Linked DNA regions of Saccharomyces cerevisiae S288C. Changing the gene in region 2 together with the main gene of any one other region gives a genetic interaction. Each region holds a gene or a part of one and is shown on either strand. Other genes may lie near its edges.

Region 1 (4,700 bases), on a different chromosome or scaffold from region 2:
CTCTCCTCATGTATGCGGTCGGTACCACAGCAGCGCCCACCAGCCCTAACATAATATATCTAAACTTTGGAGTTCTCACAACTCTTTGTGCCTCTGAGTATATTCCTGAATCTAACTTCATTTCAGTAAACTTTGTTTGAATTTTATGCGCTAAATATTTGTATTGATTGTATTTATTGATTCTGATCCTTCAGTAACACACATTCCAAACTATCCTGGATAATGTGAAAGAGATTTGGCAGTTCAATTTATATGAAGAAGACCCTCACGTCGCGAAGCATTTTTAACAGTGTTATCCCAGTATCCCGTAATTCTTCTCTTCATCCAATGCTGGCCATTACTCCATTTATTGGGGTGATGTAGGCTTCTTATCCCTTTTAAAGGGTACCTTATTGATCTCCCTTTTCGGTGCGGCTGATGAAATCTATAGAGCAAACCGAAGTAAAACAAAATTACGAAAAGAAATATAACATTATATCTTTATCAAAATGTATGTATGGAGGAGTAACAGCTGAAAACCCCCGTTGTGAGTGGTTTATGATTGTTTTCACGCTTATTTTGTCTTCTATATCTTTGCTGATTTTACTTGTATTAATCCGGTTCATCCGAAAACTTTTTTGAAGATCGAGCCAAATTTACTTTTTTTCTTCTTTTCAGACCTTTTAAATTGATGGTCGTTTGTTGAGGATGAGGAACTGTCCTTTTTGCTGTTGCCTGATTTGGTGCTTTCGGTAGTTTTCGTCCTTGAAACGTGGTTGTGGTGATGGTGGTGGTGATGCGCTTTTCTCTGTCCTGAAGAAGATGAAGTGGAGGATGTTCTGGGTGATAGCCCTGCGGATTTTGTTTTTCTCATTGGATGTGAAGTGAACTTCATTTTCGGATCCTCATTGTCCCATTTTAGTGCTGTCTTGATATGAGGCGTAGAGGCAGTTTCGTGGTTGTAAATGTCATCAACCATGGACTTTACTTTATAAATGCCGTTATTGTTGAATTGTATTCTTGAACTCCGCTTTGAGCTGCGCCTCGAATTTCTCGATTCTATAGGAGTTAGCTTTCGGCCAGAACTGTCGTACTTCATAAGAGTGTTATCATCCAATAGTACTTGTCTCGACGGTTTTGGTCTAACATATCCCATCTTATCGAAGAATTCCATTTCTTCCTTTTTTTCAGGTGAGATTGGGAAGTACTCATTTACAGAGGTTACTGACTCATCACTATCGCTTTCTTCATCATCCGAATCAACCACTTTATGTTTTGTGAAAGGGTTTTCCAAAGTTCTCCTGATTAATGCACTTAGCCATTGCAATCGTTCCTTTTTTCTCACTTCCGTTTTCAAATCATCGCTGTTGTCCTGTTCATCTTTATCCACTCTAGGTTTTATTAAAAGCTCAGGCTTGATGAATTCGAATGGGACAACAAATGCTGGCATTGCAAAGTGTTTCATTAAAAAAAATGGTAGTTTCACTTTTCCATTTCTAAACTTGATTTGAATGTTGGCACTAACGGTGCTGATTACTTGCAAACTTGGCCTATACAGAGAGGTCGCAGATATTATGGCTGATCTTGTTGAATTTTCTTTTACCATCTCAATACTAATCCTAACTATTTTAGTTGCCAATCTTCTCGCGTAGTAATTTAAAATATCGCTACAAGTTTGCTTAGCCTCATTATGAATAGCTTCTATTCTTATTCCCGTTGATAAAGGACTAGAGAGATCCGGGCCTATAAGGCTATGTGACGCGGTAGTCATGCTTTCACTAGTATTGCTAGTCATCCTTTCTAAGCGGTGCCTTCTTTTCTCCTTATATGCTAGAGTATCAATCTTTGCTTCAAACTCAGGAATTGTAGTAATTATGACTAAATGATCACCATTTCTTGTCAAATTTTCAACATACCAGTCCACAGATGACCAAGTATATCTCCTACCTGATATATAACACGAAACAACTCTTAAATCTACATCGTCATCTTTGTCTTTGCAATTGAGCTTTTCTTTTGTATTGGAAATATAATTTTCATAGTCTGGATGATCAATTGTCATTGAAATTGCATTGTGAACAATTGTAGGCCTTGATGGATAAATTGCTGCTAAAGGGTCCGTCACGTTGCTTGAATCCGTTTTTGACTCTGTTGTGTTCAAATAGACTGGAACTTGCTCACCAAAATCAAATTGATCTATTTTAGTCTTGTTCGATCTTCCTTTACTTATATAAAATTCCTCTAATTTGGCTAATTCTTCGTCTGTCATCCCGGCAAACGACTTGGACCTTTTCTTTGAGCTCTCCATATTTTCGCTTTCGGATAAATCTACCATTGACTTGGTCTCAATTCTATCTTCAACTTCATTAAGATTGGCAAATGCAGCTTGCGTATAGCCTTTCCTTGATCCAGAATTTTTTTGAGTGTTTCTTTCGGTCATTTTGGTCATTTTTCTTTCCAGCTCAAAATCCAAATCACCAATATCAATATCATCAATAGGGCCCTGTTCATCAGCAGCTTTTCGAGATTTTTTTAGCACGGATACTTTTGGAGGGGGAGGCAACCTCACTGAAGTCCTTCTTCTTGACCTGAACATTGGAGACTCACTTCTACTTCTTTCAACGCTGGGCGATCTCAAATAGCTTTTGGAGGGATCATGTGCTGCAGGAGAAAATACCTGAGTATAGAAGTGAGGAACTCCAGATGTTGTAGACGTTGGAGTTCCTAGTTGTAGTGGCGAAGAAGCTTCTTCGTCTTCGGGTGAGTCCAAGCTTTCGTCAGTGGCAAGGTCATTAGAGCCATGGCTACCGGTCAAAGTATTTTTGTAAACAGGATTAAATTGTGGAGGTATATGTAAAAAATGATTATTCAAGCCAACATGGTGACTGTCATTTTTAATAATGGTAGCTTGGTCATCAATTAAGGAAGGTGCCAGATCATCAAACGAGATATGCTTAGTAAATGTCTTTGCAGATGACATCTTCTATTATTTTTATTAGATATTAGCAGTTTGCCAGGGATTACAGCTTCTCCCTTATGTACAGTGCGACAATATTCTTTTTTTCAATGTGTCTTTTTATTCATTCTTCTGAACAGTTTCGCTTCGTTAAGGGTCCTTCTGGCTTTCTAGAGGCATGCTCACCTAAAATCCCCCTAGAAAAGCGGGCTCTTTACCCGGCGAATAATAATAACCGCGGCTACTAATTTTGCACCATTGAATATTAACCTCAAAAGGCTTAGTTGGCAATTATATTCTCCTTCTATTAATACTTAATGTTTACAATGTCCTTATAGGTGTTTAAATATATTTTTATATACTTTGTACATATTGACTTCCCAGTGCGTAACAACGTCTTCCAATGACTATTTTTTTTGTTCGAGAGTATATAGTTTTTTTTTTAAAGCTAGCAGTTCGTCCTTGAGGGAATCTCTATTTTCTTTCGACATATACAGTTCCGCTTTCAGATTGTTGATTTTCATTCTGTGGAACGCATCAAAATTTCCATGAGTGATGGCGCCACGCTGTTCCTGCTTGTCATCCTGTTCAGCTTGTTCAGTTTTAATTCTATCAATCTCCTTCTGTAAATCGTCGTTGTTTTTACGATATTTTTCGAGCTCGGATTGTGATAGGTGAATAGCCTTCTTTGTTAGGTCCATAGACTTCGAGCTTCCATCAGAGAGTTTTCTTAGCGCATCCAACTTGTTGTTATTGTCGAGTAAATTAGCCCGCAAAGAATCTCTTTCATCATTAAGCTTCTGAGTTTCAAGGTGCAATTTCTCTTTAGCACGCACGGTTTCGTGCATTTCATTTATTACTTTTTCTATTTTGTTCAGCGAATCTTTCTCATATATTTGATTATCTTTCTCACTTGAAGGTGGCCGTGCACTGGTAGGATAGCTTTTTAATAATTTACCCAGATAGCAGGACGATTCGTTCAAATAGGTATGAAGTTCGGGGGTTATTTTTTGCATATTATTTACAAGTATTTCGTTCTGGCGCTTCAAAACATCACATTTATTCTCAAGATCGATGATATCCCTTTTAATAGTGACATGTTCGGAGCATGTTTTAAGTCCATTATTTTGAATCGTAATTTGGTCACAGAGTTTACTTGCCTGAGATAATTTGACCATCAATAAATTTTTTAAATCATTAATTCTAGATTCTAAAAAGGTTTTCTGAATTTCTAGATTTTTAAGCCGTGCTGTTTGAAAATTTGAATCTTTTGAAGCTTCTTTTATTACCATGAGTCTCTGGACTTCCTTTTCTAATTGTGAAATATGTCTAGCAGTTTCAAGTTCCTTTTGTTGAGCTTCGAGACGTAATGTTTGTAGGTTCAGGTTTAAATCATCAAAAAGATTTTTGGGAATTCCTTTTTGACATGATGTGTCCTTATATGAAGAAGAGCCATACTCTTCTGAATCCACTGTTAGTCCTCGTAGAACAGGGAAATTTTTTTTAGATACTTTGATACCAGTTCCCGGACTTTCCTTATTGATGCTTGAATCAACTTTGGAAGATTGGGGTTTCTTTTCCTCCCTATCTGATTTTCGTTCAAATGCCTTATCATCCAAAGCGCTGGAGTAACTTCCAGCCCCTTCATCAATATCATTATAACTCAAAACTTTGCTATCAGGCAATCTTGGTGTAAGAATGTTTATTATCTCTTGATTTTCACTTTCGGTAGACTTAGAGGGTGTAAAGCCCCCGGAAAGACTAT
Region 2 (4,022 bases):
TCAATATGAGTAGAGACTTAGCAGAAAGAGTGAGAGTTGCAAAGCAGACCGAGGATTCAACAGCTAATTCTCCCGCTCCTCCCCTCCCTCCACTTGATTCTAAAGCGTCTGTCGTTGGGGGTCCTCCATTACTGCCCCAAAAAAGTGCAGCCTTTCAGTCATTATCTAGACAAGGGCTCAATTTAGGGGACCAATTTCAAAATCTCAAAATAAGTGCCGGCAGTGATTTACCTCAAGGACCCGGTATTCCACCAAGAACTTATGAAGCTTCGCCATATGCTGCAACGCCTACTATGGCAGCCCCACCAGTACCACCGAAACAATCGCAAGAGGATATGTACGACTTGAGAAGACGTAAAGCAGTTGAAAACGAAGAACGTGAACTGCAAGAGAATCCTACGTCCTTTTACAATAGACCCTCTGTTTTTGATGAAAATATGTACTCCAAATACAGCAGTTAGGTGCATTTCTTATTTCTTAATTTTATTGTAGCTTTTTTTTTTCAACTAATATGATAATTATATATATACCGGATTTGTTGAAAGCCAGTTTTGCAAGGATAAAGAAACTGCGATTTAGCAAAAGTCCCTTTAATGCTTCTTCCATCTTTGATCTACTTTCTTTTGAGTATTAGGTGTATACCATACACTTTCAGATCCAAAATCAGCCTCGGACATTTTTACAAACGAAATAAGGCCATTATCCATAATAGCGATAATAAAGCTCCGATATCCCGTCTTCAATCTACGATTTTGCTGTATGTGAGGTGGGTACGCCTTTCTCTTCTTTTTCGTGCTAGACTGTGCAGTTTTTTTTTGAAAACTTGCTTTCATAGACGACTCACTTTTTTCAGTTTGAGATTTCGCGCTCCTCTTATGAATATATTCCTTTCGTGGGATATCTTCAACGTAGGAGTTTGTCTCCCAATCGTCATCATCCTCGATTTCGCTTAAAAATTCGAATTTATAATCAAGTGAGGAAAACATAGATCGCAGCTCTTTATAGGTAGGAAAATGCTGAAGATCGTCATTTTTATTGTAAACGAAAACTTGGAAATCAGGAAGACCGGGGTCTCTTTTCTTGAAATTAGAATGGGGTTTCCATACTTTAAATGTCAAGGGAATATCCTTTACCTTTTGAAATTCCCTATCAGATTGTGCATCCAATAGCTCTTTTTTATTCTTTGGTACAGCCACGGAACGAACAAGCCTATTTAAACCCTGGTATAACTGTGGTGAAGTCGTATATTTACGAAAAAAAAAATTCCACTTAGAATAGAAGAAACCACTAAACAGCGATAACTCTTGTATTTTAAACAATGAAAGTAATCTCCAAGTGATTGCTTGTAAATTACTTCGTTGCTTTTTCAATGGGAAAAAGGAAGTCTTGACTGCTGCTTCTTGATTGCTGGGTTTTAGAATAAAACCCAACCTTTTTAAATGAGCAAACACAAAATATTGGTCCATTTCCTGTTGCGATGAAAACAGCGAATACAAATCCTCCATACTGAGTAAAATCTCTGTTTCGTGCTTTGAGCTTTTGTTAGAGCCTGCTTCTAATCTATAATAAGGAAGAATAGTGCCTCTCTCTGCCAAATAAACAAACTCATGGAAGTCAAGCCAGAGTTCGCCTGTGCTATCAGCCCTTCCCATCGTTTGCATAAAGCTGCCTTTGGGTTTAAGTAGAACGGCTTGATGTTTATGGGGAACATAGTATCCTCTTACTTCAGATTTTACTGTTGTGCCTCTTATTGAGTCTGATATGGTATCAAACATGGCTTTACTTGCATTATAGAGAAGCAGATCTTGCAAATTAGTCCCATCTGGTTCATAGTCTTTTTCACCCCTCTTTGGAAGTGAAAGAGCAGCATTTTTGCTAACGAGCGATGCGAGTTGCGACCAATCTTGTTGTAGTTCTTCTTCTTCTTCTTCTTCTTCTTCAAAGCCCGGATTAGATGTGGTCACTTGATCAGTTTTCTTCCCAGCGAATTGCATTTAAATTGGCAGAAGAACAGAGGTTTTATGTATGTTTATATCCAAACGTTTCGATAGCTCAAATGAATAATTTTTCATACTGAGATGAAGCTCTGCAGAGTTCGACTAAACTGTTTCTAGTTTCCCTTTGGCGCAACTTAACTATGAAAAATAATAAAATAAAAAAAAAGTCCAAGCCATAATCAATAGACAGCTAATAACCTGAATTTTAACAAGAGAATATGAAAACATTATCAATACTGATTTGAATATACCCGTAAATTCTATAAGACTCCATTAATATACCGTATTATATTACAAGTTGATAATACATAAATGCGTTAAATAAAACAAAAATGACCTTGTATACGCGTCATTCCAATGCAAGAATTTGTTTATCGTAAAGTTTTGATGAAGGTGTCTAAATTATACTCCTCCTCGTATTGAGATGGGTCCCATAGCTCTTTCAATTCACCGAGGGCCTCTTTGGCTTTGCCAGTTAAACCAGTCTCGTTGGCAATATCTTCCATGCCCTTGGCTGCTTGGGAATCGCCATTATTCTTTTCCTCATTGTCCTGTGAGGTAACGTTATCGGGGTCGAAGAGATCAAGCAGCTGATGTGTATCCATGGATGCTAATCCACTGTTTTGCTGATTAACAACTGTAGAAGCTATATTCATTTTGAATTTCTGCAAACCCATGATTTTTTCTTCAAGCGTACCTTTCGTAATAATTCTGTAAACATTAACAACCTTTTTCTGACCAATTCTATGTGCTCTGTCCATTGCCTGTAGATCATTCATTGGATTCCAGTCATGCTCTACAAAAATGACGGTGTCTGCACCAGTTAAATTCAGACCCAGCCCTCCGACCTTGGTGGTCAACAGTAGGCAATCAATAGAGGGATCTTCGTTAAATTTCCGAACAACTTTTTGTCTGTCTCTTGGGTCAATGCTTCCATCTAGCCTCATATAGGTTACGGAGGGCATATACTTTTTAAACAAGTCATTTTCAACCATGTCTAGCATATCTTTTAGTTGGCAGAAAATCAGGGCTCTGTGTTGTGATATGACATTTTGAATAGGAAAATTCTGATCTTGGCTTGCTTTTTTGTCGATATCTTCTTCACCTATACCACATTCAAAGAGTAATGTTCTCAATGCGCTCAGTTTTGGAGCGTTGATAATATCGTGTAAATCTAGACCAGTTTGCTTTAAATAGTCTTGTACTTGCGCTAATTGCGGGTGATTTGGTGAAAGGACCAAAGCTGGATGATTACACAATTTTCTCATGTATTGTAAAGCTTGGAAAATATGTTGCTTGCCATCAGCAATCTCAGAATTTTCAATATCTTTCTCAACTACATTTTTTTGTTTTTTAGTAAAATCCATGTATAGTTGTTTTTGTAAATCACCTAATTCACAGTAGTAATCCTGAATAATTTTAGGTGGTAAATCAGATAGAACGTCTTCCTTCAATCTTCTCAGCATGAAAGGTAGAACTTGCTTATGTAGTGCCTCCAAAGCCAGTACACCTGCTTCCTGCTCCTTAGATGATGTTTTACTATTTCTTGACGCAGCGATTGGCTTTGCGAACCTTTCCTGGAACATCTTTTCCGTTCCCAAAAATCCCGGCATTAAGAAGTCAAACAGAGACCACAATTCTAAAACGTTGTTTTGGATGGGAGTTCCGGTTAAAATTAATCTATGGTTTGCAGTAATTTCTTTAACAGCCTTAGCAAGTTTTGATTGAGAGTTTTTAATTATATGTCCTTCATCCAAAACACAATAATTATATTCAGTTTTGTTTAGGACTGCGAGATCATTTCTAGCTACGTCATATGATGTTACAATAATATCAGCATCACTTAACTGTGGTCTCAGAGTTAATCTGACAGTTGGGCCACCGGCATACACAACAACCTTTAAAAAGGGAGCATACTGGTCAAACTCGTTTTCCCAATGGCCAGTTAAAGATGGGGGGCATATTATGAGAGATGGTAAGGCTCTACTTTCAACAGAACGCGTTTTTTCATAATCTTCCTTCCTC
Region 3 (3,929 bases), on a different chromosome or scaffold from region 2:
TGTTGTTACTTTGCGTATTTCTTCTGCGCCGTTTAATCCCATTTGGGTTCAACTTGAATGGCTTGTCAGTTGAAGCGTTCGGGAAACTAATAGGCGAGCGATTTACCTGCTGATGTGTATTTGTGTTATGAATTAAAACCTGCGACTGGTTCTGATTGGCTTGTGTGTTTATAACAGGACCAAGTTGTCGGTTAGGGAGCGATTGGTTTATATTTTGGGAAACATTATTTCGATTATGCTGCTGATCAGGTAAGATAGTATTTAGTGCGTTAGAAAATTGGTTGTTTAGCTGTGCAGTATTCGTATTCACATCTATGGTTCCATTCGTAGTCCGATGCTGGTTGATACCAGAATGGGTGTTGGAATCTCCTGTACATAAATCAGCAGTATGCTGTCTACCAGAGCCATTATTCTGCATTTTCTGCAAGTAAGCACTACTAACGGCTGATATCGAATTTAGCAATTCGATAGCAAGCTTATTTTGGGCATTGTTTGTGCTTGGGCGCGCGCTTGGCTGCGCAACCAACTTAAGTAATATATTCAATTTGTTCATAACTTTATAGTTATCTTGTTTTAGGTTTAAAACCATTGTATTCTGTTCCGCGATCTTATTAGATAACTTGTTGAAGCTTTCCTCCATCTCAATCATTCGGGCACTCATTTCGTCCATTCTTTGAAAAATCTTCAACTGATCCGTCGATATTTCGTTCGACGGTGAATCATTAGTCAAGGATTGGCTTAACATACGCCCTGTACCCGCCGTTGTCGAGTTCGAAGCGGAAACATTCGAGTTCACCCGCTCTTCATTACTCAGTTTTTCACCAATAGTTTCTGTTGGTTGACTGGTACCTGTGGGTGCTGAAATCGCTGCTGAAGTCCTCAAAAGACCTCCATCTAGTGCATTTCCATCGTTGCGAAGTGTACTGGCGTTACTGCCACTGGCGCTCTCTGAACCAGTCGTAGGCGAAATGTGAGTGGGCAGTGAGAGGTCAAGATTGATACCTATAGCATCTTCATTTACTTGACTATTCATCCTGTACCCATCCTTTAATGTAGTGGGCATCATTAAGAATAAGAAGAAAGGGCTCATCAGTGTAGAATAATCGAAGCTGATGGTTATCCTATAAATCTTTGTACGTACGATGCAAAGAATCGCAATACCCATTCCAGACATTATGCTCCAGCCATATGTACCCTAAATATAATCTTTTTTGTATATAAAAAACCTAAAAAAGAGATAACTAAACCTAGCTCAATATTTAATTTGACCTAACCCTCCGTCGGCCCTTTTTTTTTATTTTTTTCTTCGGAACGGTGCGCTATAAAGAAAAAAGGCAAATTCCAGGTTATCCATATAAACGCCATAACAAAATTTCATTGATACAGGCTTTAAGAACCTTGCTCTATTTACTACTGCTCTTTCTTCCTCTCTCAGGTTGAGCTATTTTTGAGAATAGCGCTTTACTGCTGCATGGAGGAGTGATTTTTTATAGAACATTGAAAAACCAAAGGACTGGTGCCTAACTACAAAATTTTCAAGAGTTGTTTCAAGTTATCTATATTGTCATTGGTTAATAATTATAAAAAATCTTAAAGTTTGGAGAGCCAAATTTTTTTTCTATATAAAAAAGCAAATGTCATTCAAGTTTCTGATAGAATCGCTGCTTCTCGGTTCGATAAGCGGACAAATACGGTGTGGTAGATCTTCGGTGATCCCCCGTGGCGATGTATCTTATGGGGGAGACGATACTGACGAACTTAACATGGATATAATGTTGTTTGCGTTTGGAACCTTAATCGTGGTCTACATCGTCATCTGTATCGTTTATTTTTTTACAAAACAGATAGCTACGCGGCTTATAACTGCATATTATAATGAGCATGGCCCTGGCCAAAGAATATCTTTATTCAGCGATTATGACGAAAATAATGCACACGTTCATAGCAGAAGATTAATGGAAAACATGAGTTTAAGGTGGCCCAACAATCTTGACGATGCTGATGAAGTAAGAGATAAGCTGGCACAGTTGTCACCTGAAGAGCAGTTTTATTATAAGCAAGGTGAGGAGTATATCAAGCAGAACCCACCATTTCTGCTTAACCAGGGACTTTTACAACAGTCCGAAGATAGCAATCCAGACACCACCCGTGAAGACCCTATTATGAACGAGCAAACAAGGCAATATATTCAAGAAGAGGGGGCTTATGCATGGGAGTTTAGCCCAAATCCTGATATGCCAAACCATACTGTCATAGTGGAAAATAAAACAGAGGTTTCTTTTCTAAATTATAATTATGATGCTTCTATATCCACAAATCTACCCATTCCGTGTATAAATAAAGTATATTATTGTGAATTCAAGATATTTGAAACGGATGGCCCACTAAACAGTGATGAAAATGTATCGAAAGGTGTCATCTCATTTGGTCTTTCCACACAGCCTTATCCATATTTCAGGTTACCGGGAAGACACCACCATTCGATAGCATACGATTCTAACGGCGCCAGAAGATTTAATGACTCCTTCAAACTAAATGAGCAATTAAGAACGTTATTTCCACAGTGTGAAAAGGGAGACATTGTTGGCATTGGCTATAGGTCACGTAGTGGAACAGTATTTTTCACCAGGAACGGAAAAAAACTAAATGAAAAATCTGTTGGTGGTCATATCCGCGGCTGGAAATTCCAATACCTATACCCGATCATTGGCTCCAACGTACCTTGTCAAATTCATGTGAATTTCGGCACTTATGGCTTTGTTTATATAGAAGCAAACGTTAAAAAATGGGGATACGCAAAGTCAAACGGCATTAAATTACCTCCTCCTTCTTACGAAGACTACGGTAAAGATACCCTATTAGAAAGCGGTGGTGAAGACAATGATTTCGACGAAGATTTTTCAGACGGTGATAGCGACAATATTGCGGCTGGTAGTACTACAAATCTCAATGATGATATAATTATAAGAAACGGTGAAATATTACCGCCACCACCTGGATTTGAATTCACTATGTCCCCTCCCACTGGAAAGAAGATCATCAATGAGGAAATTAATCTAGATTCCTTACCTATGCTACCACCAAGTTACTCGGACGATGAACATCATTCGAAAAATGATAAATCAGCAATAAGCGGACGAATTATTGGAACGAGCAGAAATTTAATTACTGATGAAGCATCTTTCGATAGTGTTGATAATGATAACGAAGATGAAAATGATCACGAGAGAGATCCCGAACAATTTTCAGAATTTGATGATTACGAAAGCAGGATGCATGGCATATAATACGAAAATGCATGAGATAGTAAGGCTGAAACACTAGCCCCGGTCAGTTATCTTTTTTTGCGCTGTATTACGCAGAGCCACCATTTTTTAAAAACATTGCAATTTATAACGTTTTCTTCCTTATTGAGGGTTTCAACGCTATCACCTACTCGATATCGCAGTGCAGCATATAGATATTTACATACATATATACATATGTTTACGTACACTAGTAAGGGCAACTGGTTGACCCGCAAACTTCCTTCTTACTTTCCGTACTTTTGCCATCTTTACTTGCACCTCCGTGCTACCTCTTAATGTGTCACAAGAAGAACGTATGAAGTATTTGTCAGCGCTTCAGACATCAGCATGGGTTGCAAATGCGTGAGATTAAAATGAAGCGTTCCAGCTCGAAAGAAAATTTGCTTATCTTTCCCTTCTATCATTTTTTTTTTCTCGTTTTTTATTTTGCATTGCCTTATCTTTTGCCGCCAGAAGAAACAAGGTTGCCATTATCGTGCCATGCGTTTACTTGCTAACGCCCTATGATGTTCCCGGCGGCTTTTGGATACTAATAATAGCAATCATATACCCTTTATTGGTTACTCCTATCCAATGATGAGTTTTTTTAACTCGTTTAAACATTAGGGATGCAATCTTGTC

The links.
Region 1: mutations in SEN54 (region 2) and YGR237C together harm fitness more than expected from each alone (negative genetic interaction), as found in Saccharomyces cerevisiae (one large-scale study listed by BioGRID).
Region 3: mutations in SEN54 (region 2) and EAR1 together harm fitness more than expected from each alone (negative genetic interaction), as found in Saccharomyces cerevisiae (one large-scale study listed by BioGRID).

What each region holds. Positions count from the first base shown.
Region 1 is NC_001139.9:962,697-967,396, forward strand, and holds YGR237C (uncharacterized protein), read right to left. Parts: upstream 2,960-4,700; coding exon 602-2,959; downstream 1-601. Other genes in the region: SPG1 (Spg1p), read right to left, coding at 1-121; KEL2 (Kel2p), read right to left, coding at 3,343-4,700.
Region 2 is NC_001148.4:396,112-400,133, forward strand, and holds SEN54 (tRNA splicing endonuclease subunit SEN54), read right to left. Parts: upstream 1,995-4,022; coding exon 591-1,994; downstream 1-590. Other genes in the region: BRO1 (Bro1p), read left to right, coding at 1-461; MOT1 (DNA-binding ATPase), read right to left, coding at 2,369-4,022. UniProt on the Saccharomyces cerevisiae protein: Non-catalytic subunit of the tRNA-splicing endonuclease complex, a complex responsible for identification and cleavage of the splice sites in pre-tRNA. It cleaves pre-tRNA at the 5' and 3' splice sites to release the intron.
Region 3 is NC_001145.3:603,226-607,154, reverse strand, and holds EAR1 (Ear1p), read left to right. Parts: upstream 1-1,634; coding exon 1,635-3,287; downstream 3,288-3,929. Other genes in the region: HOT1 (Hot1p), read right to left, coding at 1-1,174.